Astyanax mexicanus: one gene and its partners. The protein of the gene in region 2 purifies or fractionates together with the protein of the main gene of each other region. This does not show direct contact. Links are inferred from orthologs where the notes say so. Each region holds a gene or a part of one and is shown on either strand. Other genes may lie near its edges.

Region 1 (7,347 bases), about 31 Mb from region 2:
AGCTTTTATCAGCCTCTGCCAATTTAGTTGTGATTTCCCTGGTGGAGCGTTATTCACTCTCTTTGTGTTGGGTTGGAAGTTGGAGGCTGTTGACTTAGCAGTTATTCATATTCTCTCCTGTTATAAACAAAGCTTGTTTAGGACAAATAGGTTTTTTCTGACATAGGTAACATAATATAATCTTATTTTATAATTAGCACTTTTGATAGTTTGTGGACTAAAATTTATTAACAATAATTATTGTTACATAGAGCTGATTTACATAGAGACCCTATACAGTGTTGAATTTACTCTAAAATACACTGTGGGACCATATGTTATCCAGGGCAGTGTTAAATTTAACTCGGTTAAGGTTAATTTAACACTATCAAGTTTACTGTTCAGTAATATTTTTCTTAATTTGGTACAGACGCTGTATAAACTTATACACTATACTCTATCTCTCTTAGTTTATCACATTTATCACATTTCTACAGTAAACTCTGCCTTGTGTTTCTATAGTGCAGCTTTACCAGGATGAAACAGAGCCACAAAGTGGAGGCATAGCTCGCGAGGTCTCGAGCATTCTGCTCACATGACCACGTGGCAACGAAAACAAAAGGAGAACTCGCCTCAAAGCCCAGTTTCACTCTGAGTGCTGGTGGGCGGAGATTCATCCTGCAGAATCGACTCTTTTAAACGGACCGATTGAACCACAAGTCTGATACGCTGACATCATCCTCTCTATATGACTCTGATTCTGATGACCCTTACTTTTAATTGTTCTGTGTGCACTAAAACACTCAGAAAATAATAACATTTATGTATTTATTATATTGTTATTTTTAAGTTTTTCGGAAAAATCTATTTAATTTTTTTTTTTTCTGATAAAGCTGTTTACAGGGCAGATTGGTTTTGATATGTAAATGTCACTTTATTGTAAATAATGAAATATTATTTACACAAAACAACATTTATTTTTTAGTCGAACAAATTTTCTTATATGTTTTAGTAATAAAACAATATGTGTCTGTTATAAAGTGTAAAATTAAAAAGGCATTTAATTTGATGACCATTTTATGACTTAGTGATGCCAAATATTAAAATGTACTATAAACTTAAACAAAAAGATGCCTGTATTTTACTAACTATGTGTCAAATTTGGAATCCCCAAAAATTAATACATTTCTAAAATATTTCAGATTGTTTTAATATGTTGTATTATTGTTTTAGACTGTTTGAGTTATTGATGTTATTGAGTTATTGGAAGTTTACTAGAATCGCTAATCTTCTGAGGACTTTGACTCTAATGAAGTGAATCAAATTTTGTTTTTTAGTCAAACTGAATTTCTCTTTAAATGTTTTGGTAAAAAATAAGGAATTATATTTGCTGACCATTTTGACTTAATGAGCGCAATTCTTTTTTTATAATTTAAAAAAAAATAATAAATAATATTTTACACAAACAATAACTGTACCTTTACTAACTAATTATACTAACTAATCATCCTTGCAATTCCCAAAAATCTATTTTTATTATAGTATTTATAGTATTTTGTAAGTTATTTATTAGAATTTTACCAGAATCTTATGGAGAGTTTTGACTCTTATGAAGTGAATCGGTTCAATCACGAGTAAAAAAAGGATGGAAGCCTAAAATCACGAAACGAAACATAGCTCAGTAAAAGTTTCTCTAAAAGCACATCCTCATGTTTGTGGGTCAGACAGCTCTATAATACAGCAGGATGTCTGTAGTATGAAGTATAATATAGTAATAACGCTGAGTCTGACTCGGAGCAGCTCTATACGGTGGTGGTGCTGGTGGTGGATATACGGACCTGTGTAGAAGAAGCCCGCCTGCGCCAGAGTGTCCGGCTGGACTGAGGCCCCCGGCGGCCAGTTTTGAAAGGTGGTGAGCCGGGTGTCCTCGGCCTCCATCTCCGGGTACACGGCCTGTCCGACGGAGACCTGCTCGTCCACCCCCATCCTCTGGAGCTGGCTGAGCAGCTGCCCGTCCACCGAGTCCGGAGAGCCGGGGGGCCGGGGGATGTTCCCCACGCTCCGCCCCAGTATGAAGCCGCAGGTCGGGAAGTGTCGCTTGTGTTCTCTGAGCGGCTCGTCCCCGCTGACCCAGCACCGCAGCACGCCGTCGCAGCAGAAGCACTGCACCGTGTCCCCGTAGCCCAGAAAGTAGAAGCCGGCCCGGGCGAGGTCCGCCGGGCTGACCGGGGAGTCCGTGGCCCAGTGCTCGAAGCTGCGGAGCCGCTCCTCCTCGCTGTGCATCCCGGGGCTCAGTCCGGGGCTTAGTACGGGGCTCAGTTCCCCGCCGCCATGCTGATCCTCCGTGCCGCTCATTCCGCTCCCGGTCCATAACGGACCATTCAGGTACGGCCCGAAGCCCCCGCTGGCCATATATCACACAGCACAGCCTGTGACCCGAGCGAGCGCGCGGCACCATCCGGAGTTCTAGAACAGAACCAACACAGATCCCCCCCCTAACAAACACACACACAACACAGTGTATAACACTCACACACTCTACCACACACACACACATACAATACCACAATAACACACACGCGCCCCTGCACACGTTTACTAGAGACACTCAAACACAACACACACACACACACACACACTACAGTTTATTTTTATTAATTAATAAACGTACGGATTTGTTTGTTTGTATACATATGGCAGGGATGTCAGGGGGAATGGTAAACGTTTAAAAAACTTTTGAGAAGAAGTTTTGGCATAGATAGATAGATAGATAGATAGATAGATAGATAGATAGATAGATAGATAGATAGATAGATAGATAGATAGATAGATAGATAGATAGATAGATAGATTAATTAGAATCATAAAAAATAACACTAATAAATGATAAAAAAATAAACGGTTAAAATAAAATACAAAGGTAAAACAGAAAATAAGATAAATAAAAATGAAAAGGCCCAAAGGTAGAGCAGAAAATAAAATAAATAAAAGGACAGAATAAATAAAAAGGTAAAAGGTCAAAAACAGTTACAAGCTGTCTTAAATTGGTTAGAAATAAAAAAGTTTTAAATAATTTGGATACTTTCTCATTCCATTACTTTCTGGGTCATTATTAGAATACTGTGTCTTTTTGTCTCAAAACCAACAGGAACAATATGTAGTCATTTTCTACTTTCTTTTTTTTACTTTAAATTATGTTTTACTGTGTTCTAAAGAAAATAATGTGTCAACACGGTTTCATTTAATATTTCATTGATTTAACACTGCTCTGTCATGGTGTTTGAAGACACATTATATAATATTTTCCTATATATCTATTTACTTTAATGTACTGTTTAATGACTTGCTGCAACAAAAGTCAAAAAACTGCCTTACACCCTCACAACAGGTCGTTATGTTTGGTAAACATGGTAGACATGTATTTTACAAAAAACAAAACTACATATTGTCCGTTTAACAAAAGTTTTTCAGCTTTTTCACTTTTTTTTTTATTTAATGTTTTATTTCCAGTCATGCATGAGTCCATCCTGTTATGGCAACAGTGTGACATGAAGGAGGACAGTGACAAGGTGGACAATATTGCTTTAAATTGTTAAATTTATAAAAACATGATTGACCTGGATTTGGGGACATGCTGAATTGTTCACAGTGACTGTTTATTTTAATTTTCTAAAATGATTTTACTTCCCGTGATATTTTACCACAACAGTATGATACTATTTTACCAAAACCAGTATCATACTGTACCAGTCCTGTTTTATCAAAACAGTATGAAGATATTACTGAAGTCTAAGTTATTTTTTTTAAAGAGCAGGGTTATCCTTAGATGACATTGTGGGAATGACAGAGAATTCTCAGACATGTTTAGATAGCTTCATATTTTATGAAAATATCTAAATAAATAAAGTCCAATATATTATATAAAAAATATATATATATATTTTTTTATTATTTATAATATATTGGACTTTATTTATTTAGATATTTTCATAAAATATGAAGCTATCTAAACATGTCTGAGAATTCTCTGTCATTCCCACAATGTCATCTAAGGATAACCCTGCTCTTTAAAAAATATATATATTTTTAATTGTATTATTCAATTTATTAAAATAATTATTCAATTTACCCAGAGGTCTACCCACCCTCACTTCGAATAAAACTGTATCTAATGTGCAAAAAGTACTGATAAATCTCGAAAAAAAATATATATTAACAAGTTAGGACTACTGATAATTAAAATAAGATATTTCGGTGTAAAGTAGGAGTGTGTTTATTCCCTTTGTGTGCTTTATATTGCTATACAGACACAGATTTGGAAGACTAAAATGTTTTGTTGCTTTAGGTTCCAGTGAAGAACTTTCTTTGATGGACTACATTTCCCATGATCCTCTACAGGAAGTTCGTCACATGTTGATGTCGGAGAGTATGGCGGCTCAGTGAAACGAACGGTGTTCGTAAGCGTGTTGTTTCTTCAGCAGAAATGTAAGTTATTGAGTTGAACTCGGTTTGACCGAGTGTCGGAACTGCGGGCTCTGTGTGGAGTTACTGCTCGTGTTTTAAAGGTGGTGAAAATGACCGTGCAATTAATTACAGCGTTTCCCCGCGAGCGGTGCAGCTTAGCTAACGCTAACTAGCTTAGCTAAGGCTAACTAGCTTAGCTAACAGAGCAGCGGTAACCCAACTAACGTTACCACGGCGGATAAACCGCGATTATAAATACATTATTCCTGTATTTCTGTAGAAATTATAGAATTACCACGTTTTACTGTCGGGTCTGTCCGAGTTTACCTGGTTAACTGTGACCCGTTTTCTCTTAATCTAAGTGTTCGTGCTGATAATGAGTGTAAAGTCAGGATATGCTGTTTTAAACTCGTGTCGGATAAAGTTATCGCTAGCGGTTACGTAACATAACTATCGTATTAATAACATTTTCTTTCCGTTAAATGTAAATGTTAATATTGTTACTAACGCTACATTTGGTCCAGTAATACTACACAAAGTTAAGTGTGCTTAGTGGCCGGTGAAAAACAAGCTCTGTAGCTACTAACTCAGTTAACCTAACGTTGAAGTGTTATGGGAGATCATTTACTGTTAGGTAAGCTAAGCTAACGCTATATGTCCTGTAAATATTATTATCTTTATTGTGTTTTGGTCCACAGACAAAATTAACCGGGAATGTCAGATTCTTAAAGCTCTCATTCCATCGTTTTTGCATCAATTTTAAAATGTGTGGTTGTGGTCTCTAGTATAAATGAATGCCCTGTGAGCTGTTTTGTGTGAAAAAGTGCTCTGGTGATCAGGTATAACGCTGCTTTAGTCAGGTGGAGGGTGGGGGCTGGAAAGATATGATTTTGGCTCTTGCTCATGAAAGGTCATACATGCAAACATATCGCATCTGATTGGCGACCAGCACTGCGAGGCAGTAAGGCAGACAACAGTTAGAAATGTTTTAAAATAAAGTTATTTCTACACTAAAAACAGTCTTTGTAACGTCATATGTTACTCTACTGTAATGCCCTGCTAAGTGTAGTTAAGCCACTTACCCAGACTTAGAGTCTCTGTACAACGCCAAATCCACCGGAGATCCTATGTAAACATTAATGTATTCAAATACTCTTTAATATTTAGTACAATGATTTGTTTAGGTTAACATTTTTGCTGCACATGATTTAACATATTTTTTAAACTCTCTTTAATTAAATGTACACTTGGGTCAGAGTTCTTTATCAATACAATAAAAAAAAATCACAAGATCACAATACGATGAAATATTGATATATTGTCCAGCATAACTGTGGCCAGTGTCGGCCAATTGTAGTAGTGTGGCCAGTGTTGAAACCTTGCAGATTTCTTTTGTTTTGCTTTTTTGTTGTACTGATAATACTCAGATTATCAAACAAACTGTAATATCAGGCAAATATAACCGTAGTAAATATAAAAAAAAATAATTTAATTTAATTTAATCTTTTAGCTGCTTCATGTTATCAGAAAGGTTCTATTTAAGTGATTTTTTGATTCTACAGGTCTGGTAGTATTCAGGCCTGGTTGTGGTTAGTGAAATTGAACACAGCTTTCCATGTGATTTATGGGGAGCTAGATTGGTTTGGATAGTTATTTTCCCTTAATAAATGAAATCACTATTTTAAAAAGTGCTTTTTATATTTACGTAAGTTATATTTGTCTGATATTAAAGCTCACCTTCCGTCGTTTTTTTCTTTCATTTTAAAATGTCTAGTTGTGGTCTCTAGTATGAATGAATGACATGTGAGCCGTTTTTGTAAAAAAAAAGTGCTCAGGTGTCTCTGTATAGCTCTTTTTTAATGGACTGTTTTAGGGGTGTGTCCAAAATGACCGGATTCCAGCTTTGCTCATGAATATTCATACATGCAAACAGCATGCAAATATCTCTCCTCTGATTGGCTAGGAGCACTGCGACGCCCCTCCACCGCTCTGCCGCTCACTGCCTCCCACCTCCTAACTGATGAGCTGTGATGTTGCGTCGCTTCAGCTCCGCCTCTGGGAGTTTCTCGAGCCAAGGTGGGCTGGTCTGTGAGTTTCTGCCTACGTAGGCAGAAAGATAATTCAAAATTCACCCGTTTTTCGGAGGGGGGGAGGGGGGATTTCTTTGCTTAGCTCCTGCAGACAATGGGGGCTGCAAAACAGTTTAATGTGCAGGTGTACACATTCAACTCGGAGAGACCTACTGTATTCCACAAAAAACAAGAAAAATCGGATTTTCGCGGAAGGTGACCTTTAAAGTTTATTTGATGATCTGAAAAATTTAAGTATGACACAAAAATGCAAAAACAAAATAAATTTTTATGGGGTAAACAGTTATTTTACGCCACTGAATGTTTTAATAGTGGATTGTAGATTGTGTTTTAAACACCATTTTAAACACCATAAGGGCTGCAGTCTACTTCTAAATGCTTCAATCTAATCAATACATAAAAAAAAGACAGACAAAAACACTAGGGATGCCTCGATCCGTAAATGTAATTGTGATTCGGGGCCGGTCACGTCATTTTCATAGGATCAGAATCAGGTGGAAAAGATCCGCATTACTGATGCTCTCATGTGGTGCTCCCATGGGTGGAACGTGAATTAGGTGGAGGGGAAAAAAAAAAAAAAAAAAAATATATATATATATATATATATATATATATATATATATATATATATATATACATACATACATATATATATGTATATATATATATATGTATGTATATATATATATATATATATGTATATATATATTTTTTTTTTTTTTCGACCAAAAACATTTGAACAGAAATCATTGTTTACTTGCACTCCAGAGATGGACCATAAAGGATTGACTATAATCTGCTTTAAATATGGTGG
Region 2 (7,343 bases):
CAGACAGATAGAGAGACGCACAGACAGAGACGCACAGACAGAGACAGACAGACAGACAGAAATGTGCAGGTTAGTGAGTAGTGGTGAGGTGGTGGTGATCAGGACTCACGGCGGTGAGGATGCTGCAGCCCCAGATGAAGGAGAACAGGTAGAACGCTGCCAGCTGACCCGACTCATTAAACTTACTGTGCTTCGTTTTAGACAAGTGCAGCCGCCGGTTAATCTTCTGCACAGAGAGAGACCAAAACAAACAACATCACATCACAACAAACAACATCACAATAAACAACCACGTTACAAACATCTACACATTAAACACTGCTGGAGTTCAGATACACATCATAACATCTTAACCATGACTCTCCAAACCATCACTGATCATCAGTACATTTTACATTTCGAGTCTGGAGGAAGAGTGGAGAGACACACAGTCCAAACTGCTCGAGGTCTAGTGTGAAGTTTCCACCAATCAGTGATGGTTTGGAGAGACATGTCATCTGCTGGTGTTGATCCACTGTGTTTTATTATCAAGTCTAAAGTCAGTGCAGTTTTGTTTTCCCACAAAATCTTACAGCACTTCATATCTTACAGCTTCCCTCTGCTACTGACAACTTTTATAGAGATGTGGATTTCATTTTCCAGCAGGACTTGGCACACTGCAGAAAGTACCAATTGGTCTTATATATAATATTCTAATTTTCTGAGACACTGATTTTTGGGTTTTCATTGGCTGTAAGCCACAATCATCAACAATAAAAGAAATAAACACTTAAAACAGATCATTTTGTGTTTACTACATCTATATAATATATGAGTTTCACATTTTAAACTAAATTATTAAAATAAATTAACTTTTCAATGATATTCTAATTTTCTGAGATGCACCTGTTTCAACAGATATTAAGGAAACATGCTGAGTTTAAAGCACTATCAGCTTCAGTCAGTAGAGCTAAAGCCAGTATAGTAGTATGTTATGGAAATCTGTGTGTGATTGAGCTTTAGAATCTACAAATCTACCACAACATATAAGTGCAGCTTATTTAGTGCATGTTTATACCTTTAAATTCAGACGATTAAGTAAATACACGACATAATAAAACAAAGATAAAATAAACTGCTTTCAAAAATAGCAAAAATATATTTTTTTTCTATAGTGTAACATGCCAATATTATTATGTATTTTCTTGTGATATATATATTAGTATAGTATCGCAAAATCACAGTATCATGATTTCATTATTATGGTGAGCACCTGTGATTTCCAGGGTTTTTCACACAATTTACACACTATTTTTAAATTAAGCCTCAAATGGCCATAAGATTGGCTTAATAAAATATACACTGACTTAAAACCTCTGCATTAAAGTAAATTTGTTGCATATAAATAACAATTAATAATTTGACAAAGCAGTGCTATCACGTTTTTAAAGATTTTTTGACACAATGTATATCTGGCAGTTGTTCTTCTACAAAACAATTATAATAATAATGTAATTTTTCCATTAATCAAACAATAATTGTCCATTTATCTCTTCTTCTACATGTCAGAAAGCTTTACATATTCAAACACACAGAGAACCCAACCCATCACTTACGTCCAGCACGTATTCCTGGATCAGGGCGTGGAGGATGATGGCGATGAGCAGGTAGAAGAAGACCGTGGCGATGTCCTTCGGTCCGTACTGGTAAAAGTTCACCGGCTCAGGCTTCTCTTCTAAATTAACAATAAACATAGGAGCAAAATGCAGATTTTGCCCAAGACCAAACCAAAGCTGAATGAAGGCTCAGCCAAGATTGACCCAAGCCTTATCCAAGATTAAGCCAAAAAAAAAACAAGGCTCAACCAAGGCTCAACCAAAACTGATCCGAGAATGAACCAAGGTTCAACCATGGCTCAACCATTACTGGTAAAACAAGACTGAACCAAGACTCAAATCATGACTAAATCCAACAGACAGACTCCACCAAGGTTAAACTGAGACTAAACCAAGGCTCAACCAAGAATAAACCAATGCTCAACCAAAGCTAAACTAAGGCTCAACCAAAGCTAAACCAAGGCTCAATCAAGAATGAACCAAGGCTCAATCAAGAATGAACCAAGGCTCAACTAAGGCTCAATCAAGGCTGAACCAAGAATGAACCGAATAGTAATCAAGGCTCAACTAAGAATGAACCAAGGCTCAACCAAAAATGAACCAAAGCTAAGCCAAGGCTCATCCAAGAATGAACCAAGGCTCAACTAAGGCTCAATTAAGGCTCAACCAAGAATGAAACAAGGTTTACGCAAGCCTCAACCAAGACTGAACCGAGTAGTAATCAAGGCTCAACTAGGAATGAACCAAGGCTCAACCAAAAATGAACCAAAGCTAAGCCAAGACTCATCCAAGAATGAACCATGGCTCAACTAAGGCTCAATCAAGGCTCAACCTATAATGAAACAAGATTTACGCAAACCTCAACCAAGACTGAACCGAAAAGTAATCAAGGCTCAATCAAGCCTCAAACCTGACTAAATCAAAAATGAAAAAGGTTCAACCAAGAATTAACCAAGTATAAATCAAGGCTCAACCATAAATTAACCTAAAATGAAAGAAGGCTATAGACCCACCTGATGTTTGAGTGACATTGTACTGGACAGTGATGAACATGATGGCAAACTTTGCCGTTACCTGAAATCAAAAAGCAAATCTTAACGACTACAGAAATACAATACAAACAGAAAAATATTTGAAAATTAAAGAAAAGATTTGGCATCAATTTTATGAAATGGGTCTAGGCTCTTATGGGTTAAAATTGATAAGCTTTCTACTGGTGGAATGGGCACTTATTTGTTTGTTGGGTAGATATGTCTAACTGTGCTATTCAAGAAGAAGGGATTCCAAGCAACCAATGAGAACACCCTGCAAAAATGCAGACCCTTTAAAGCTGTGTAACATAGCACTGAAAGAAATCCTTGTTATTTATGTTAGATCATGATTTTAACCTTAAAATATTTACAGTCATGTGTCCACAATAAGAAACAATCATGGATGAGCTGCTCTCTGAATTTATAAATAGGTCTGTGCTCTTATTGGTTAACATTAATAAGCTTTCTATTGGTGGAATGGGCACTAATTTGTTAGCTATTAAATTATAATCAGATAATTATCTGCCTAAATTATAATTGGGTATCAGTATTGAGGAATAGGTCTGGGCTCTGACTGGTTAATCAAGTGTTTAAATTAGGAGTTTTGCTCTGATTGGTTAATCAGTGGTTTAGCTCTGATTGGGTAATTAGGAGTTTAAATCAGGGATTTATATCTGAATGGTTAATAATGGTTTAAATCAGAGGTTTAGCTCTGATTGGTTAATTAGGGGTTCAAATGAGTGGTTTAAATGAGGGTTTTAGTATTGATTGGTTAATCAGGGGTTTAAAACAGGGGTTTAGTCTCAGTTTAACCGGTTTAAACCCGGATTAAAGCTCACCTCGAACATCAGCCCCAGCAGGATGATCATCGCCACACACGAAACCATATCGGCGTGATTCTGGATCACAAACTCGTGGCTCAGAACCGGGGGGCTCTTGTTCTTCTTTCTGAAGCCCATGCTGGAGCTGCGCGCGCGCGGTAATCCGGGTCAGAAGCTCAGGTGTGCGCAGGTAGAGGGTAATGCAGGTATTGAGCTGAGAGTGGGGGGGGGTAAGTTTGGAGGATCTGCTGCTGCTGCTTCTCCCAAAGCTAACACTACACCAGCTGCCGGAAACGTACAAAATAAAAGCCACTTCGCACAATAAAGGTCTCCGTACAAAATAAAAGTCCTTTACCGGAAAACGAATACATAAGAGGCGCTGTATAGAAGCATTAAAGAAAAATATTTGAATTAGTTTTTGTATTGGTTAGTTTCATTAAAACAAAAAAGAAAAATATGTATCGTAATGTAAACTTGCAGACTTGTATGCTTGTATATTAAAAAACTATTTCTCAATGTAATAATTTATTTCATATTTCATGTTTACAAGCATTTCTTTATTCATTTCATTATATAATACTGTCACAAAAATAAAAACTAAACTTTATTTACGTTGTTTAATAGACAGAATCGGTTATTGTTGATGCTCTGAATCTACATTTACAGTGCTTTTAGGTGAAAGTGGTTCCCACTAATAATTAATAATAATAATAATTATTATTATTAGAAGTAGTAGTAGTATTCTACACTGCAAGTCCACAGTACTGGCTATGAAATATGAAAATAGAATACAAACAGGAGATACATATTTTATATAAGTAATTTTTTTGTTCTGACTCTTATTTTGAAGTTTGTCGAGCTTTTGAACCGGAAGTTTTTAGTGTAGCTGGCGTTGTATGAACGGTGTGTGTTTGGATCTGTGTTTATTTACTGTATTTAATATTTCCTCTATTCTCTGCACTGCAGCAGTAAGTCCGGGTAAATCCGCTTATTAATTAAATCTGTTTCTATTTATTAGATAAATAAATGACTTTATTTTTTCAGCGCCGGTTAATATTTAACTATAATAATTCTACCACTCTCTTATAGATTACTGTAGATGTACATGTGTGTTCAGTTTAGAGAGAGATTTAGTTTATTAAAAGCTTTACTCACATGTATTTCGTATTATTTCACTGTGCTGGAGCTTTATTTAACTGTTCATCACTCATTAAAAGATGTATAGATGGATGGATGGATGAATAGATAGGTGGATGGGTAGATGCATGTGTGGATGAATAAATAGATGGATGAGTAGATAGATAGATGAATGAGTAGATGGATAGATTAATGGGTAGATTAATGGGTGGATGAATAGATGAATGAGTAGATGGATAGATTAATGGGTAGATGAATGGGTGAATGAATAGATGAATGGGTAGATGGATAGATGAATGGGTTGATGGATGGGTAGATGGATAAATAAATGGATGGTAGATGAATAAGTAGATAAATAAGTAGATGAATGGCTAGATGGATGGGTAGATGGATATATGAATGGGTGGATGAATAGATGAATGTTTAGATGGACGAGTAGATGAATGGATAGATGGATAAGTAGATGCATGGATGAATAGAGGAATGTTTAGATGGATAAGTATATGAATGGTCAAGTAGATGGATGGATGAAAGAATTGATTGATGGATGGCTAGATGGGGAATTGATAGATTGGTGGATAGATGGGTAGATGATGGATGGATACATAGATGGGTGGGTGAATGGATGGATGGTATATGTGTGGATCAGTTAATGGATAGATGGTAGATTATAGATGGATGGATGAATAGATGAGTCTATGATAGATTGGTGGATAGATAGATTGGATGCATGGATTGCTTAGTAGCACCGCAAGCATCGCCTGGTCCTTTTCCAGTGTTCCAATTAATATACCAGCAAATATCTGTTAAAAATATGTAGATGATGATTCTAAAAAAGTAAAAGTAATTATCGTCCAGCACCGATCTAAGTGTTTGATGTGGTGCAGTGGATAACACCACCTGCCTTTGAGCTACTATATGGGAGACTGAGGTTCAATTCCAGGTCTGGGTACAAGTCCTTGGGCAGGACTCCTAACAAAAGATTGGTCCACCTCTGTAATAGAAATAAACCTATAGGAATAAGTTGTTTTTTGTAATTATTATAAGATGTGCTTGAACTTCTGCTCTGTTTCTTCAGGAATGGCAGAAGCAGGAGCAGACATGGACCCTGAGGTGGCTCTAGGACTGTTTGAAGAAGGAGCTACGTTGGTTCTGCTGGGCGTTCCTGAAGGAACAGAGCTGGGTATCGACTACAAGAGCTGGCAGGTGGGTCCCCGGTTCCGCGGGGTGAAGATGATCCCCCCCGGGATGCACTTTCTCCACTACAGCTCTGTCAGCAGTGAAAGCTCTGGTGGGGAGGTGGGCCCCAGGAAGGGTCTCTTCCTCTTCCTGAAGCCCCGGGAGCTACTTCTGGCCCACTGGGACAAACAGGAGGAGGATCTGGACTTCTCCGACTCTGAGAATCCAGAAGACGTTGCTCGAGTGAAGGCGGGGCTTCGTGAGCTGGACTCGTACCTTGGGGCGTACCCCTACGACACGCTGAGGAAGTGGGTGTCTCTGACGGATAAGCTGAGTCAGGAGGTGGCCGTGGCCCTGCAGCCGCTCAGCGGGCGAGTCTGCGCCTTCAGCGACGTCGTTCCCGAGCTCCAGCTGAAGCTCACCAAAGACCGAGCCGAGCAGAACCTTCCCCGCAACGACACGCAGTGCCAGACCATGAAGGAGGGGCTGGACCGGCTCCCCAGGATGAAGCAGAGGGAGGGAACCGAGCTCCGGTTCTCACAGATCCCCAAACAGACGTATCCTCCGGGAGCCACGCCCGCTCAGATCACCCAGTGCAGCATGGACCTCAGCTACGCCCTCAACTGCCTGCTGGAGGACCATCATAAAGACCAGCCACTCAACGTTCTGGGTAGGAATAGCTGTTTTAACTAGTTCTGCTGTATGAATGTTTGGTAACACTTCCTATGAACCCTGTATTCATAATTGCATTATAAATGCATTCATAATGCATTATATGACATGCATAATACCTTATAATGACTGTAATAAGGCTGTATAATAACATAGGTACTAGTAAACTACAAGTATAAAGAAAGGGCTCACACTGCCTTATAATATCTGTATATAAGAACATCATACAATGTAGTGTTGTACCAAAATATACCATATGTGTTATAGTGCATTACAACACTACGTTGTAAAATGTTCTTATGAACAGATATTATAGGGTTGTAAGCCCTTTCTTCATAAACCCTTATACTTGTAGTTTATAATGTGTTATGAATGTTGCTGTAAGTACTTACAAGTTATTATACAGGCTTATAACAGTCATTAGAAGGTATTGTGCATGTCATACAATGCATTATGAATGCATTATGAATACAGGATTCATAAAAAGTGTTACCGAATGTGTTTATATTTTGGAATAAAGAGCGTGCAAACATCTCAAAGACAATGGGAGTTATAATTTTATGATAAAAAATAGACTTTAAAAAGTTCTTCACATGAATACATGCCTGTTAGGGATGCTCCAATGTGGGAATTCTGGGCAAATTCCAATATTCAATACTACACATGTAGTGTACCAGTCAAAAGTTTGCCATCATTTCCATTGTAATTGAATAGTGAAGTGATCTAGAATGTGAAGGAACACATAAGGGACTTAAAAGTGTTCAACAAACCAAAATAATTCAGATTGACGGTCATCTTTTTTCATTCATTTTAAAATGTTGTGCTCTGGTGATCCTGCTGTATTTAACAAAGACCAAGAACAAGAGGATCTTAACAGAAGGACACCTTTAAAGTCATTTTTTTTTAAC
Region 3 (7,063 bases), on a different chromosome or scaffold from region 2:
ATAAATTCTGTATGTCCTCCCCCACACACACACCTGGGAGTTGTAGCAGCGAGCGATGGCTCCACTGCAGCGGCAGCTGACTCTGAAGGTGGGGCGACTCTGACCACTCTCACTGCTGTTCTCCTCCTTCTCTCCTTCATCCCTCTTTCTTTTCTGACCCCGCCCCTGAGGGCCATTAAGCTCCGCCTGCAGGGAGGTCCAGGACTTGAGGGTGTGGCTCCAAACATCTCGATTTCCCACAATGCTCTGTTTTATTACGTCCGCTGCTTTCGCTGAAGAAAGAATTTTCAAGAGTAAGACATACTTGTGATTGACCTAATATAGGTGTGAGAATGTATCGATACAGCAATATATTGTATAGTTTTCATTATCAATATATGCCATTAAATACTGAATTAATGTATTTTGGTTTTAATTTTTTTCTCCTGTAAGCTTATGTTACACAGCTTACAGTTTACAGTAGTGTAGTTGTGTTTTAAATTTATTTATGGCAGTTTGTGGCTATTTTACAACACTGGAATAATATTAATGCAATAAACGGAAAAGTTGCAGTAAGCGTTTGTGTTGTGAATCTGACACCAATAAATCCATATTTTACCCTTTTCAGTAACACAGATGTTCTGTATTGTATTGGAAAGAATATTGTTGAAAAGTTACTTTATTTCATTAATTCAGTTATATATATATATATATATATATAGATGTATTACACACAGAGTGATCTATTTTAAGCGTTCATTTATTTTATTGTTGATGTCAGTCAGAGTCTCAGAAAATTAGAATATGTATATAAGACCAATTGGTACTTTTGGCAGTGTGGGAAGTGTGCCAAGTCCTGCTGGAAAATGAAATCTGCATCTCCATAAAAGTTATCAGCAGAGGGAAGCATGAAGTGCTGTAATATTTTTTAGGAAAACACTGCACTGACTTTAGACTTGATATAACAGAGAGTACCAAAACCAGAAGATGACATGACTCTTCAAACCATCACTGATTGTGGAAACTTCACACTAGACCTCGAGCAGTTTGGACTGTGTGTCTCTCCACTCTTCCTCCAGACTCTGGTTCCATGATTTCCAAATGAAATGTAAAATTAACTGATGATCAGTGATGGTTTAGAGAGTCATGTCATCTGCTGGTGTTGATCCACTGTGTTTTATCAAGTCTAAAGTCACTGCAGTGTTTTCCCCAAAAATCTTACAGCACTTCATGCTTCCCTCTGCTGACAACTTTTACAAATATGCAAATTTTATTTTCCAGCAGGAATTGCCACAAAGCCCACACTGCCAAAAGTAGTAATTAAGTCTTATATAATATTCTAATTTCTAATAAGAAGTAACTACAAATCTTGCGCATTTAAGTTTGTTGCACACCTGTATGATGCGAGCAGCACACCTGGATTTTTGGGCAGGGTAATGGGAGGAGCCTTGCGCAGCAGCAGGAAGAGCCTCTCTGCAGATTTTAATAACATCAATTGCTGTAGAGTTGAAGTGCAGCGGAAAAACACTCGGCCAGGGATATGCTCCACCTAACACACAGACACACAAGTAAAAGGTTCATTTATCAGAATAACGATGGTTTAAACAGTTTACTAAATATCATATTCTCTCTTATTCTGTCACACCACATGCCGTTTTAGTGATATATTTTAATAAATAAGTATTTTCTTATAATTACAAAACATTGTGTCATAATTACAAAAATGTATAATCATAATTGCAACAGCAGTATCATAATAACAAGCTGTAGTCTCATAACATTGTGGCCCAAACTCCCATAAAAAAAAGCCCTGAAATGTGTAAATTTAATTTCAACCAGAAATTTGTAACCTAACTACAGCCCACAATTTTTAAGCTACAAAAACACATTTCAGCAGAGTTGTAGAACCAAGCATATATGCTTATGATTTATAGTTTTATGATTTATATTCATAAAACTATCCAACAGTCTTTTGGGCAGAAGTTTAGCCACTCTTCATTTTAGCTAAAAGTTTGTGGACACTATTAGCTAAATGCATTTGCATTCCGCCATTCAGCCAAATGTTTTTGGACTCCAACACTTAGCCAAAAGCTTGTGGAACTGCAATCTAAGCAATAATATCACCAAATAAAAAAATATATTAATTTTGTTGCAGTAGTATGTTCTTGAAATAATATATATTTTGTAATAATAAATATTGACATTATTTTATAATCATATCACCCACCCCTAATTATTACATAACATCATGCTAATGTAATAACACAATGCTGATTACAGTTTTTTGCTTTCCAGTAATACACAGCTGTAAAAACTGTAGCTATGTGTTTATAATAAAGTGGACAGTGAGTAGTGTACGGTGGCAAGGACTTTAAAGGTTTGAACTGTGGTGAGCTTAATGCGGTTTAACTCGTTTTAACACCACTGTAAATCTGGAGTGTGGTGAGTTTAATTCAGTTTTAACACCACTTCCTATTTGAAATGTGCTGAGTTTAATTCAGCCTAACCTTACTTTATATCTGGAGTGTGGTGAGTGTAATTCAGTTTTAACTCCACTTTCTATCTGGAGAGTGGTGAGTTTAATTCAGTTTAACTCAATTATGACTCCACTTTCTATCTGGAGTGTGGTGGGTTTAATTCAGTTTAACTCAGTTTTAACTCCACTTTCTATATGAAGTGTGGTGAGTTTAATTCAGTTTAACTCAGTTTTAACTCCACTTTCTATCTGTATTGTGGTGAGTTTAATTTAGTTGAACTCAGATTTAACTCCACTTTCTATCTAGTGTGGTGAGTTTAACTCAGTTTTAACTCCACTTTCTATCTGGAGTATGGGGAGTTTAATTCAGTTTAACCTTGTTTTAACTCTATTTTCTATCTGGAGTGTGGAGAGTTTAATTCAGTTTAACTCAGTTTTAACTCCAATTTATATCTGGAGTTTGGAGCCTAATGCAGTTTAACTCCACTTTATATCTGGAGTTTGGAGCCTAATACAGTTTAACTCCACTTTATATCTGGAGTGTGGAGCCTAATTCAGTTTAACTCAGTTTTAACTTCACTTTGTATGTGGAGTGTGCAGAGTTTCATTCATTTTAACTCAATTTTAACTCCACTTTACATTAATTCGGGTTAAATCAGTTTTAACTCCACGTTATATCTGGAGTGTGGGGAGTTTAATTCAGTTTAACTCAGTTTTAACTCTACTTTACATTAATTCGATTTAAATCGGTTTTAACTTCACTTTATATCAGGACTGTGGGGAGAACTCTGTAAGTTACCTCAGTAGCTTTCAGTTTGTTTTTGACTTCATCCAGCAGGAAGGTCTCCATACCGCCGCCTGCAGTGCAGTAATACCCCGCCGAGACCCCCGCCCCTCTCATCATCAGCTCTACACAAATAAATATACTGAATTAATACAGATTAAATCAGTCTGAAGGATCTGTCTGATGTAAACAAGAACGCATGGGCTCTGCAGGACATACAGAACCATACAACATCCGGGTTAGACTAGGCGACCTGCCAAAATAAAAGCATTAGTTAGGAATACAGTACCAGTCAAACGTTTGGACACAACTTTTTATTTAATGTTTTTCTTTATTTTCTTTATTTTATATATTGAAGATTCAGACACAAACATAAATTCACACCTTAGATCAGAAGATGTTGATGTGCTGATGGTTCAGTGTGGATGCCATGTGAAATCTTAGAAATAAAAAAAAGTAATATAGAAAGAGAGTAATGGATATAAACTTTTTTTTTTCTTTGCATTATTTGAGGTCTGAAAGTTTTTTTTTTTTGTTGTTATTTCAGCCATTTTTCATTTTCTGAAAATAAATGACAATAAATATTTTTATTTGAAATTTGGGAGAACTGTCTGTAGTTTATGGAATAAAACAACAATGTTAATTTTACTCAAAAATAGACCTTAAATAGCTAAATCAGATAAACTGTTTCAGAAACTGAAATGGTCTCTTATTATTTAATTTTTCTTCCAGAGCTGTACATCTGAGCTGCATTTACAATTTTATCTTTGCGCTTGCAAGAACTTTTAATTTGACACCGGACTCTTTCTAAGCTGGTGAGTAGCTTTAGGTTGTGTGTTGTGCGCATGTGCAAAACATCAAGCCTGCGTTCTGGATGAGCTCTACATGTCTGATGGAGTGAAGTAATAAACAGTAGCGTAAGTGAAAGCTTCTTAAATCAGCCGGTTTTGAATCCTGCTCACTTTATAGACACGTCCGAACTTTTAAGACGCCTCTGTATCTTTTAGAACCGAGTTTATACTCAGGTTTTTCTTGTTGGAGTCATCAGTTATGATGTTAACTAATAACGTTACTGCATGACTAGCTAACTGCTAAAGGAACATGATCAGGTTTATTGATAAAGTTTATTCAGATTTTTCTCTTTAAAAAAAGCGATGCTGGAACAGATGCTGTTACTGCTCGATGTGCACAAAATAATACATTCTGACATTAGAGATCAATGTTGTTTCAGTGTATTAGCGATGGAAAAATTAACTTTGCTGTCTGGGTAATATATACATGTAACTTACATTACATTTATCTAGCAGTGTTATTGTACAATTCGTATAACTCCTAAATAAACTGTTCTATTTAAACAGATAGAATAGGGTAGAAAAGAGCAGCCATTTCTCCAGAGAATGTGGACATTCTCATCTCCTCAAAAAAAAATTGAAAATATAAAAATAACAGTTGTTTTGTCTAGCCTCAAATATGTTAATAGTTGTGGTACCTTAAGGAGCATCTTTCTCTTAGATAAAGTTAATAATATATCTTTTGTTAAAGAAAAATTGTCATTCTCAGGGACCGAAAAAGTCTTAAAGTCTTATTTTTCATGCTTAACTGTTATAGCAGGATAGAGTTCAGTTTGTTAAGGCTCTAATTGTTCTATTATTTTGTACATGACTGTTCCTTTTTTTATATATATTTTTTGTTGCATTATTATGTTGCATATTGCTGTTTTAATAGTGCACACTGCTGCTACCAAAAAAGCCACTAGATGGCATTACATATATATCTTAATTGAATTATTTAAATTTGACCATTAGTGCCTAATGTGGTGTATTACAGATCACTTGTATCAATTCGTATCACTTATATCGAGCCCACCTTTTGAAATAAGATATTGTAAAGTTGATGAATCAAACCAATGAATGACCATAGACTAATCTAAAACTGGCATAGGCATCTCTGCTGTTAAAAAAGAAAAAAGAAAATCGGAAATAAAATCGAATCGAGTATTTAGAGAATCGTGACACCCCTACTGATTACTGTCTTATTTTGATAGATTGCTCAGCACTACCAACCACTGTGATGGACCCTCTTAAGAAAGTGCCTGTGCCTGAGGATGTGGTTCACTATAGGCTCTTTCTAGTCCAGCCAGACTCTGCGGCCAGTGAACAGACCCTCCTAAAGCTTCAGGAGGACCTGCTGGCTGAAGTTGCTCCTCTGTTGGTGCAGTACATTTGGCAGCAGCAGCCGTTCAACCTCAGCTACCGTCCAGAGAAAGGTAGGAGCCTACAGCCTGAGTTTTAAATGCTTGTTGTTGTTGTTGTTGTTGTTGTTGTTGTTGTTGTTGTTGTTGTTGTTGTTGTTGTTGTTGTTGTTGTTGTTGTTGTTTTTTTTAACAAATTATCGGTTAGTCAACACTGACATTTGGAGTCAGCAAATTTAAAAAATCGACGATGTTGCAGCTCTACAGTAATACTACTGTGTATTCTTGAAGTGAACTTTGAGAGTAGTGTACACAAGGATGTACCCATTATGACTAAAGGAACTTCACAATCCACTAATTAATGTCATGTTTTATTAGAGTTGCCATGTGTCTGTTTATTAAACAGTGCTAAATCTGTTTTTTAGGGGGAGTCCCAGCACACTTGGGAGGCAGCACAGAGTTTGGTGATAACGTTGAGGACGAGTGGTTCATCGTTTACCTGCTCAAACATCTTACACGCACCTTCAGTCAACTAGCCGCCACTGTCCATGACAATGACGGCCAGTTCCTGCTGATTGAGGCGGCCGAACATCTGCCCAAATGGCTCGACCCCGACAGCAGTGAGAACAGGGTAAGCATAGAGGAGGTATTATGTTTACTGTGGTTTGCACAAGTATTCATACCCCTTGAACTCTTTCACATTTTGCTACCTTACAACCACACACTTAAATGTATTTTATTGAGATTTTAATTGATACACCAAAACAACGTAGCACATAATTGTTAAAGCAGAACACGAGATTCATACATGGTTTTCAAAATTCAAATAAAATCTTTGATGTGCAAAAGTACTGCTCTGAAACCCCCTAAATAAAAGTAACTTAATTTGTTAATTAAGTCCAGCTGTGTGTAATTTAGACTCAGTATAAAAAACACCTGTTCTTTAAAGGCCTCAGTGGTTTGTTAGAGAACACTAATGAACAAACAATATCATAAAGGGACTAACCAGACAGGTCAGAGGTAAACTTGGAGAGAAGTTTAAAATAAGAGTTAGGCTATAAAAACATATCCCAAGCTTTGAGCACCCAAGGAGCACTATTCAATCAATCATCCTAATATGGAAAAGGTATTCTACAAGGAAAGCAAAATCATTGTAGAAAGAAAGAGATAAGAATTGCTGTTTGCACTTTTCCACATGTCATGTAGCAACACATCAAACATGTGGAAAAAGGTACTGTGGTCAGAAAAGACCAAAGTTAAACTTCTTTGCCTACATGCAAAGCACTGTCGTTGTGGAAAAGTAACACTGCTCATCACCCTAAACAAACCATTCCCACTGTGAAACGTGGTGGTGTCAGCCTCATGCTGTGGGGTTGCTTTTCGTCAGCGCGGACAGGGAAGCTGATCAGTGTTGATAGCAGGATGGATGAAGCTAAACACCAGCAATCCTGGAAAAAACAACTGGAGGCACTTTTGCACATCACACAGATTTTTATTTGGAAAAAAAATTGAAAACCATGTATCATTGTCATTACACTTCATAATTATATGCTACTTTTTGTTTGTCCATCACTTGAAATCTCAATAAAATACATTTAAGTTTGTGGTTGTAAGATGACTGTGAGAAAGTTCA
Region 4 (6,957 bases), on a different chromosome or scaffold from region 2:
CATTTCATTCAAAACAATGAGATGAAAAGGTAGGAAACCCCTATCCAGAGAGTTTAACCACAAACTAACAGACTGAACTTTCAGACACTGTTTAAGCTTGTGAGCTAGCCTAGCACGATGTACAGGTATTTAAGGTATTTAAAGCTATCTATCTATCTATCTAGCTAGCTAGCTTTCTATCTTAGTTTTAGTGGGCTTCTAACCAAAACCAGCCTTACTGTAGTCCAGTCTATTGCTTAATCTAACCACAGGAGGTCATTTAATCTAATTAAACGTGTCATAAATACAGGAGACTGTCTGTTTTCACCACAAAGCGTCTCTCTCACACGAGCCAGTCCATTCTCTCCGCTCAGACTGGTGTAAATCAGTGTATCAGAGCCGGGGTTTATTATTATGTAGAAGGGTGTTTGGTAAAGCAGGGTTTACCTTCTACATGCGCGTCCGCCGTGTTGGTCATCTCGATCAGAGTGGCATCTTTGGTTTTCCCCGTTATTCTCTTCATTTTCACTGAATATTCCTCTGATAAAAGGCAGGGTTACTGGATCCAGGGCTTCTCCTGGTTGATAAAGGGTTGAACGCGCTCCCTATAGTCCTTAAAGATTCCTACAATCCATTCAGTCCATGCTGAAGCTGCTGAAAGCTCCTCCAGCTGTGCGCAGGAAATCCTCCTGAGATCGAGCAGCGACCGGATTGTGGCTCATACAGAAGAATAGGGAGCGATGTTGGCCTTAAAGGGGAGTGGCTGAGGAGTGGGGGGAGCTACTTTACGTCGGCATACGTGTGTGTGTAAATATGAGGAGGTGTGTGTGTATGAGGAGGTGTGTGTATGGAAGGTTAAATTATGTGCCAAAGATTTTACACAAAATAATAAAATATGCATAACAAATATCTGTATATTATTATATTTGTATGTAATAAAATACAATGTATATTTTCTTTTATCATTAATAAAAAAACATACATTGCTGTGATCTCTATTGTATTTTTATCCCAAATCTCCGTCTCAGCTTATCAGGTTAAGATCATGGGATTGTGGAGGCCAAACACTTTTCAGTTTTACTGTTTACTACATAATTACATATACAGCTCTGAAAAAATTAGAAACTCTTCAGTTTCTGAATCAGTTTCTCTGATATGTGTCTAAGTAAAATGAACATTGTTGTTTTATTCTATAAACTACAGACAACATTTCTCCCAAATTCCAATGAAAAATATTGTCATTTAAAGCATTTATTTGCCATATTTGGCCTCAAATAATGCAAAGAAAACAAGTTCGTTTACATAAAGTTTTGTAAGTTTTAAAGTTCAGAAATCAATATTTGATGAAATAACCCTGGTTTTAATCACTGTTTTAATGCATGGTATTGTGGCGGCTCTGGGTTGTGTGTGTGGCTGCCTGTAGGCATGGTTCTGTTCTCCTGTGTGCAAGGATGACAGGGGTGGGGCATCTCCCTTGGGAGGGGTTATGCAGAGAGGGTGGGCACCACTCTGGATCTGCCATCTGGGAGACACACAGCTGGGTTGGTGGCCTTTGGGCTATTTGAGTTCTGTGGGAAAATGGTTTTAGCTCTCCTAGTCTTGTTAAAGGCTGTAAGTGAGTGGCAAGCCGGTTCAATAAAGGAGCTGTTGAGCGTTCAGCATGAGTCTCACGGGTCTTCCTTCCTCTTCCACGCCACAGTATGTTCTCCTCCACCAGTTTTACACACTGCTTTTAAATAACTCCATGCCACTCCTGATGCAAAAATTTAAGCAGTTCAGCTTGGTGTGATGGCTTGTGATCATCCATCTTCCTCTTTATTATATTCCAGAGGTATTCAATTTGGTAAAATCTATGAAACCTATGCTTTCATGCATTTCCAAACATGGCAGAATAACACGTTTCCAAACCAGTAAACTGAACTGCAAATTTTTGGGCTGTAATTTCAATGACAATACTGTAACATACTGTAACAGTAATATATTCCCTAGCTCTCTCCATGCAAATCACAGTAAAGCAAAAAAAATGTTCCTGCATTTTATCTTGGAATATATTTTTATATTTTACAGTTAGTCTTGTACATTGAATTTGTTGTCTACAAATTGAAAAAAAAAAATAATAATAATAAAATAATAATAATAATTAATATATTTCACTTATATAGAGATTTATTCAGACAAATACACAAAGAAAATACAGTAAAACTATACTTTTTTTCACCAGTGTGCATTTATAATTAGGCAGGTGTGTTTACAGTACCAGTGGAGAAGCCTATACCCCATGTGACCCAGCTGTGATAGATAATTTAAAAGCACATGCTCTTGCAGATCACATCCCTTTAGCACTTTAGCATTATAGCCTCTGCATCACATCTGCTCACATCCCCTCTCAAATCTAAAGCAGCCTAGGGCTTTTCTTTAATGAAGACTTAAAGGAATGATATCTCACTAAACAGCTGGAACAGCTGGCAAACAACAGCTCCAGTGACTGTGAAGAACGGGCAGTGTCTCCCCCTGCTGCATAGAAACCCGCAGTACATGACAGAGGCGCTCCCTGTACCGACCGACCAGTAGTGATGGCAAAAATGGTCCTAGATCTTTTCTGAGACCCTTTTTTATAAATATATATCTTATATAAGAAAGGTCTTTTGACTTGATAAAACACAGTGGATCAACACCAGCAGATGACATGTCTCTCCAAACCATCACTGATTGGTGGAAACTTCACACTAGACCTCAAGCAGCTTGCACTGTGTGTCTCTCCCCTCTTCCTCCAGAATCTGCTCGCTTTTACATTTCATTTACAAATGAAATGTAAAAATTACTGATGATCTGTGATGGTTTGGAGAGACATCTCATCTGCTAGTGTTGGTCTAAAGTCAGTGCCTTTTTCCCCTCAGAAAATCGTACATTTTATGAAGATGGGGATTTCATTTTCCAGCAGGACTTCCAGCACACTTTCCTAGCTGACAAAAGTACAAATTAGTCTTATATAATATTCAAATTTTCTGAGACACTGATTAATGGGTTTTTATTGGCTATAAGCCATAATCTTCAAAAATAAAAATAACCTCTTAAAATAGATCACTCTGTGTGTAATACATCTATATAATATATTAACATCCTTTAACATCTGTAAGAAGCTTCTGTAGATGTTCTACCAATCAATCGTGGCCAGTATTCTCTTCTATGCTGTGGTGTGCTGGGGAGGCAACATGAAGAGGAGAGATGCATCACGGTTGGACAAGCTAGTCAGGAGGGCCGGGGCAGTGGTTGGAATGGAGCTGGACTCTCTGGTTACAATAGCTGAGAGAAGGACTTTGGATAAACTGCTTTCTATCATGAACAATGATAGTTACCCACTTCACACCACCATCATGAAGCAGAGGAGTGTGTTCAGTGGCAGACTGCTGTCACAGAGCTGCACAACAGACAGACTTAGAAAATCCTTCGTTCCGAGAGCCATCAGACTCTTTAACTCCTCTCATCGGGGACGGGATGCTGCTGCCGACTGAGTTTAATCCAGTCACACCACATGGACATTATTCAACCACTTAATTATTTACACTAACACTTCCCCAACCTCACTTACATTCAAGTACACTTTACTCATGATTGAGTATTCACATTTTCACATTCTTTTTTTCTTTTTTAGAACTATCTTCTAACGGATGCATATATATATTTCTACGTCACATCAGTCACTTTCGTAATCAATGTCATTGCACATTGCACTTTACTCTGCACTGCTCCTTTTACAGATAGATCCTTACCTTGTATAGTTAGGTTTTTATAGCCTTATATAATTTCTATTCTTCTGTGTTTTGATTTGTCTGAGTCTTATCTATCTATCTATCTATCTATCTATCTATCTATCTATCTATCTATCTATCTATCTATCTATCTATCTATCTATCTATCTATCTATTAGTATTTTACATGTTTATACTGAAATAAGGTAACTTTTCAGTGATATTTAATTCTTTTGAGATGCACAGGTGTGTCTGTTGTGGGCCAGTAGAGGTCAGTACGCGACTGTGAGTTGATCTGAAGACACGAAGAAGGAAAGGTAAGCGTAGCTGCTGAGCTAGATATGGGAGAAAGTAACGTCTTATATTGGGATTAAACTCCTTTATATAGCTGAGTTATTGCTCTCTGAGTAAAGTTGCTATCTTGGTTCTGTCCGGCAGTTGGAAAGACATAGATTAGTGGTCTGAATTATACCAGAAATCGATATATATACATACAGCTAGCTTAGCTGTTAGCCTCCAGCATAGCTAACTTAGCTAGCTTAGTCAGATAACTAAGTAACTTACATGCTGTGAAGGATAGTGAGGTTAGCAGGTTAGATAACTAACCTACTGCCGTTAAATACTAGATATAGACATTTCTTGTCCATTTTAATTGTGTTTTTGTGTGTTTGTATTGACTAAGCGTATACCTTTTTCTATTCCATTTAATGTTTTCCTCAGATTTGCCTTAATATAGCTGTAGTGATAACTACAAGTAACGTTAACTTAGATGTTTTTGTTGACTAGGAAAGAGCTGGTGTTGTGTCGCGTTGTGCTACCCTGATAAACCGTGCTACCCAAGTGAATATTAACAGGCAAAAAAAAAAACACCACATTAAAAAATGCTCCCGGTGTTCTGTCGAGATGTGCTACCAACCAATTTGTGCTTCTTACAACCATTGCGCATGCGTATGCCCACATTTTTAAAAATAGTTTTCTTTTTTTGTGTTTTTATGTTAAATCTGTTTTACTTTGTCGCATTTAATAAGCAGAACCAGCTGCCAGAGTGTTACACACGTGTAAAGTTAATAATAAAGCTAATAAAGTTAATCATACAAGTAATAATGAGACAATAAATAACAAAAAAAGAAACTGTTGTTCCCTGTTAACTGTTCCCTTCAGGCATTCCAAATATCCTACCAAAACTTCTGCTGGGAGCTTTTCAAAAAACTGTGCCTTTCTGGTATTTTAACAAAATACCAGAAATAATAAATAAATAACAAAAAAAAGAAACTGTTGTTCCCTGTTAACTGTTCCCTTCAGGCATTCCAAATATCTAGGGCTGGCCCGAATAGCGTTTTTTTGAGCTCCGGATATTCGGCACTGATTCGAAGCGAATATTCGAATATTCGTTTTTAAAAAAAGAGGTAAAAAAAAATAAATAAAAAAAAAGCAAATCACGGCCCCTTTAATCCACTGAAAAATGTTCAATTTGCTCTGACCGACGAGACATATTCACCCCGGATTTTTGGTGTTTTTATCCCCCATATTTTTTCTGTGTTTTTAGCTCAGATTTCTTTGTGTTTTCATCCCGGAATTTCTGCTGCCCCACACGCGGCTTATCCGCTGCGTAAGCAGGCTAGGAGGCTGCTGCACGGTTTCTCCGCTGTGCAAGCCAGCCCAGTAAATTGCTGTTTGTGTTTTCACACTTAGGCTATTTGCTTAAAAAAACAAACAAAAAAAACGTTTGTTCAGGAAGTATTTTATATTCTTAAACATTGGTAATTATATTAGAGGACAGTCATTGTAAACTGTACTTGGTCTATTTCGGTTAAAGGATTGTGCAGGGCATATTACTGATTTTGTATTTTTGCACTTGGGCTATAAGCTCAATATTAAATATTTCGTTTGTTTAGAAATTATTTTATATTTTAAACCATGTTAAATTATATTAGAGTAGAGGAAAGTCATTGTTAATGACGTTATTGTACTTGGTCTATTTCGGTTTAAGCATTGTGCAGGGCATAGCCGTATTACTGATTTTGTATTTTTGCACTTGGGCTATAAGCTCAATATTAAATATTTCGTTTGCTTAGAAATTATTTTATATTTTTAAACCATTTTAAATTATATTAGATAAGAGGAAATTCGTTCAGACATCATTTTTGTAGGCCAGGCTTTTGTAACCGATTTAGCCCCTACTGTTGCCACATTACCCCTTACGTTTTATTATATAAATCAGTTTCGAAGAGCCTGCATTTTTTTTTATCATGTATAATAGAGGTCTGCGCGAGACTGATTTTTAAACCCACTCTTCCACGCTCCCGCGTTTCTGTCTCGTTACCGCTCCGCAAAAAAATTGCTTCTTTTAATCCCGCGCCCGCCCGCCACATAGTGCGGTCCCGTTCCTTACCCCAGTCCAAACACCATCGGTGTGTGCGTGTGTGTGTCGGTCCATCCTGCGCGTTGAGAGTTTTCTTTAGGTTTTTTTTTTTTTTTACAATTATTACAGTTTTCTTAACTATTTATTAATTTGCTCCCGCATCGTCTGGATTAAACTCCCGCTCCAGCCAATAACAGTTCAGTTCTGTCCCGCGCGCAAGATATTCTGACGGGACCCGCGAAAACAGAAGTGGTTAGAGTGAGGTGGAACTCTGGAAAGGAGAAAAAAAACGAATATCCGAATACCAAAATTAAAAACCGAATACCTACTCAACGAACGAATATCCGAATACCCGAATATTCGGGTCCAGCCCTACAAATATCCTACCAAAACTTCTGCTGGGAGCTTTTCAAAAAACTGTGCCTTTCTGGTATTTTATCCTAATATAAAAATAAGTATAAACTAAGGTAGCACCTTTTCACAGAGTAGCACAACTCGGCAGAACACCGGTAGGAGTCTATGTTAATATCCTGAAAGGCTATATCACTGTATCGGGCATAGGATAGAATCAATTTTTCAACTTTTTTTTTTTTTTTTAGTTTCTAAATATAATTTTACTACTTGGATACTTTAGGGGTTTTATTCAAAGTGGTTAACTAATCCTTTAAATGTGTTTTTTTTTTTTTTTTTTTTTTTTGTTACCTTCATATCTTAGGTAGTGTCTGCATCGTATCCTCACATCCAAGAACTGGCTCACAACTCAACACTATGGCTGTGCTGAGACTCGATGGCTCTTCCCAGAAAGTGATAATCTTTTCCGAGCAGGAAATCTCGCAGAATCTGTGAGTCTTCAACCCCAGTAAGATA

The links. The genes of interacting proteins can lie anywhere in the genome.
Region 1: the proteins of aar2 (region 2) and ddx23 purify together in Homo sapiens (affinity purification with mass spectrometry; 3 studies listed by BioGRID and IntAct, counting the BioPlex papers as one, with this or other methods). This does not show direct contact. The link is inferred for Astyanax mexicanus from reciprocal best matches to the Homo sapiens genes AAR2 and DDX23.
Region 3: the proteins of aar2 (region 2) and ecd purify together in Homo sapiens (affinity purification with mass spectrometry; 3 studies listed by BioGRID and IntAct, counting the BioPlex papers as one, with this or other methods). This does not show direct contact. The link is inferred for Astyanax mexicanus from reciprocal best matches to the Homo sapiens genes AAR2 and ECD.
Region 4: the proteins of aar2 (region 2) and tssc4 purify together in Homo sapiens (affinity purification with mass spectrometry; 3 studies listed by BioGRID and IntAct, counting the BioPlex papers as one, with this or other methods). This does not show direct contact. The link is inferred for Astyanax mexicanus from reciprocal best matches to the Homo sapiens genes AAR2 and TSSC4.

What each region holds. Positions count from the first base shown.
Region 1 is NC_064420.1:16,722,093-16,729,439, reverse strand, and holds the start of ddx23 (probable ATP-dependent RNA helicase DDX23), read left to right. Parts: upstream 1-4,334; 5' UTR 4,335-4,464; intron 4,465-7,347. Other genes in the region: birc7 (baculoviral IAP repeat-containing protein 7), read right to left, coding at 1,818-2,391. UniProt on the Homo sapiens protein: Involved in pre-mRNA splicing and its phosphorylated form (by SRPK2) is required for spliceosomal B complex formation.
Region 2 is NC_064420.1:47,567,104-47,574,446, forward strand, and holds the start of aar2 (protein AAR2 homolog), read left to right. Parts: upstream 1-4,320; 5' UTR 4,321-4,343; coding exon 4,344-4,425; intron 4,426-5,662; coding exon 5,663-6,433; intron 6,434-7,343. UniProt on the Homo sapiens protein: Component of the U5 snRNP complex that is required for spliceosome assembly and for pre-mRNA splicing.
Region 3 is NC_064421.1:32,506,650-32,513,712, reverse strand, and holds the start of ecd (protein ecdysoneless homolog), read left to right. Parts: upstream 1-4,050; 5' UTR 4,051-4,156; intron 4,157-5,283; 5' UTR 5,284-5,309; coding exon 5,310-5,505; intron 5,506-5,855; coding exon 5,856-6,061; intron 6,062-7,063. Other genes in the region: thumpd2 (THUMP domain-containing protein 2), read right to left, coding at 34-272, 1,396-1,528, 3,255-3,359. UniProt on the Homo sapiens protein: Regulator of p53/TP53 stability and function. Inhibits MDM2-mediated degradation of p53/TP53 possibly by cooperating in part with TXNIP. May be involved transcriptional regulation. In vitro has intrinsic transactivation activity enhanced by EP300.
Region 4 is NC_064430.1:8,175,766-8,182,722, forward strand, and holds the start of tssc4 (protein TSSC4), read left to right. Parts: upstream 1-3,944; 5' UTR 3,945-4,045; intron 4,046-6,803; exon of another isoform or gene 6,804-6,805; 5' UTR 6,806-6,858; coding exon 6,859-6,932; exon of another isoform or gene 6,933-6,949; intron 6,950-6,957. Other genes in the region: anoctamin-5, read right to left, coding at 427-502. UniProt on the Homo sapiens protein: Protein associated with the U5 snRNP, during its maturation and its post-splicing recycling and which is required for spliceosomal tri-snRNP complex assembly in the nucleus.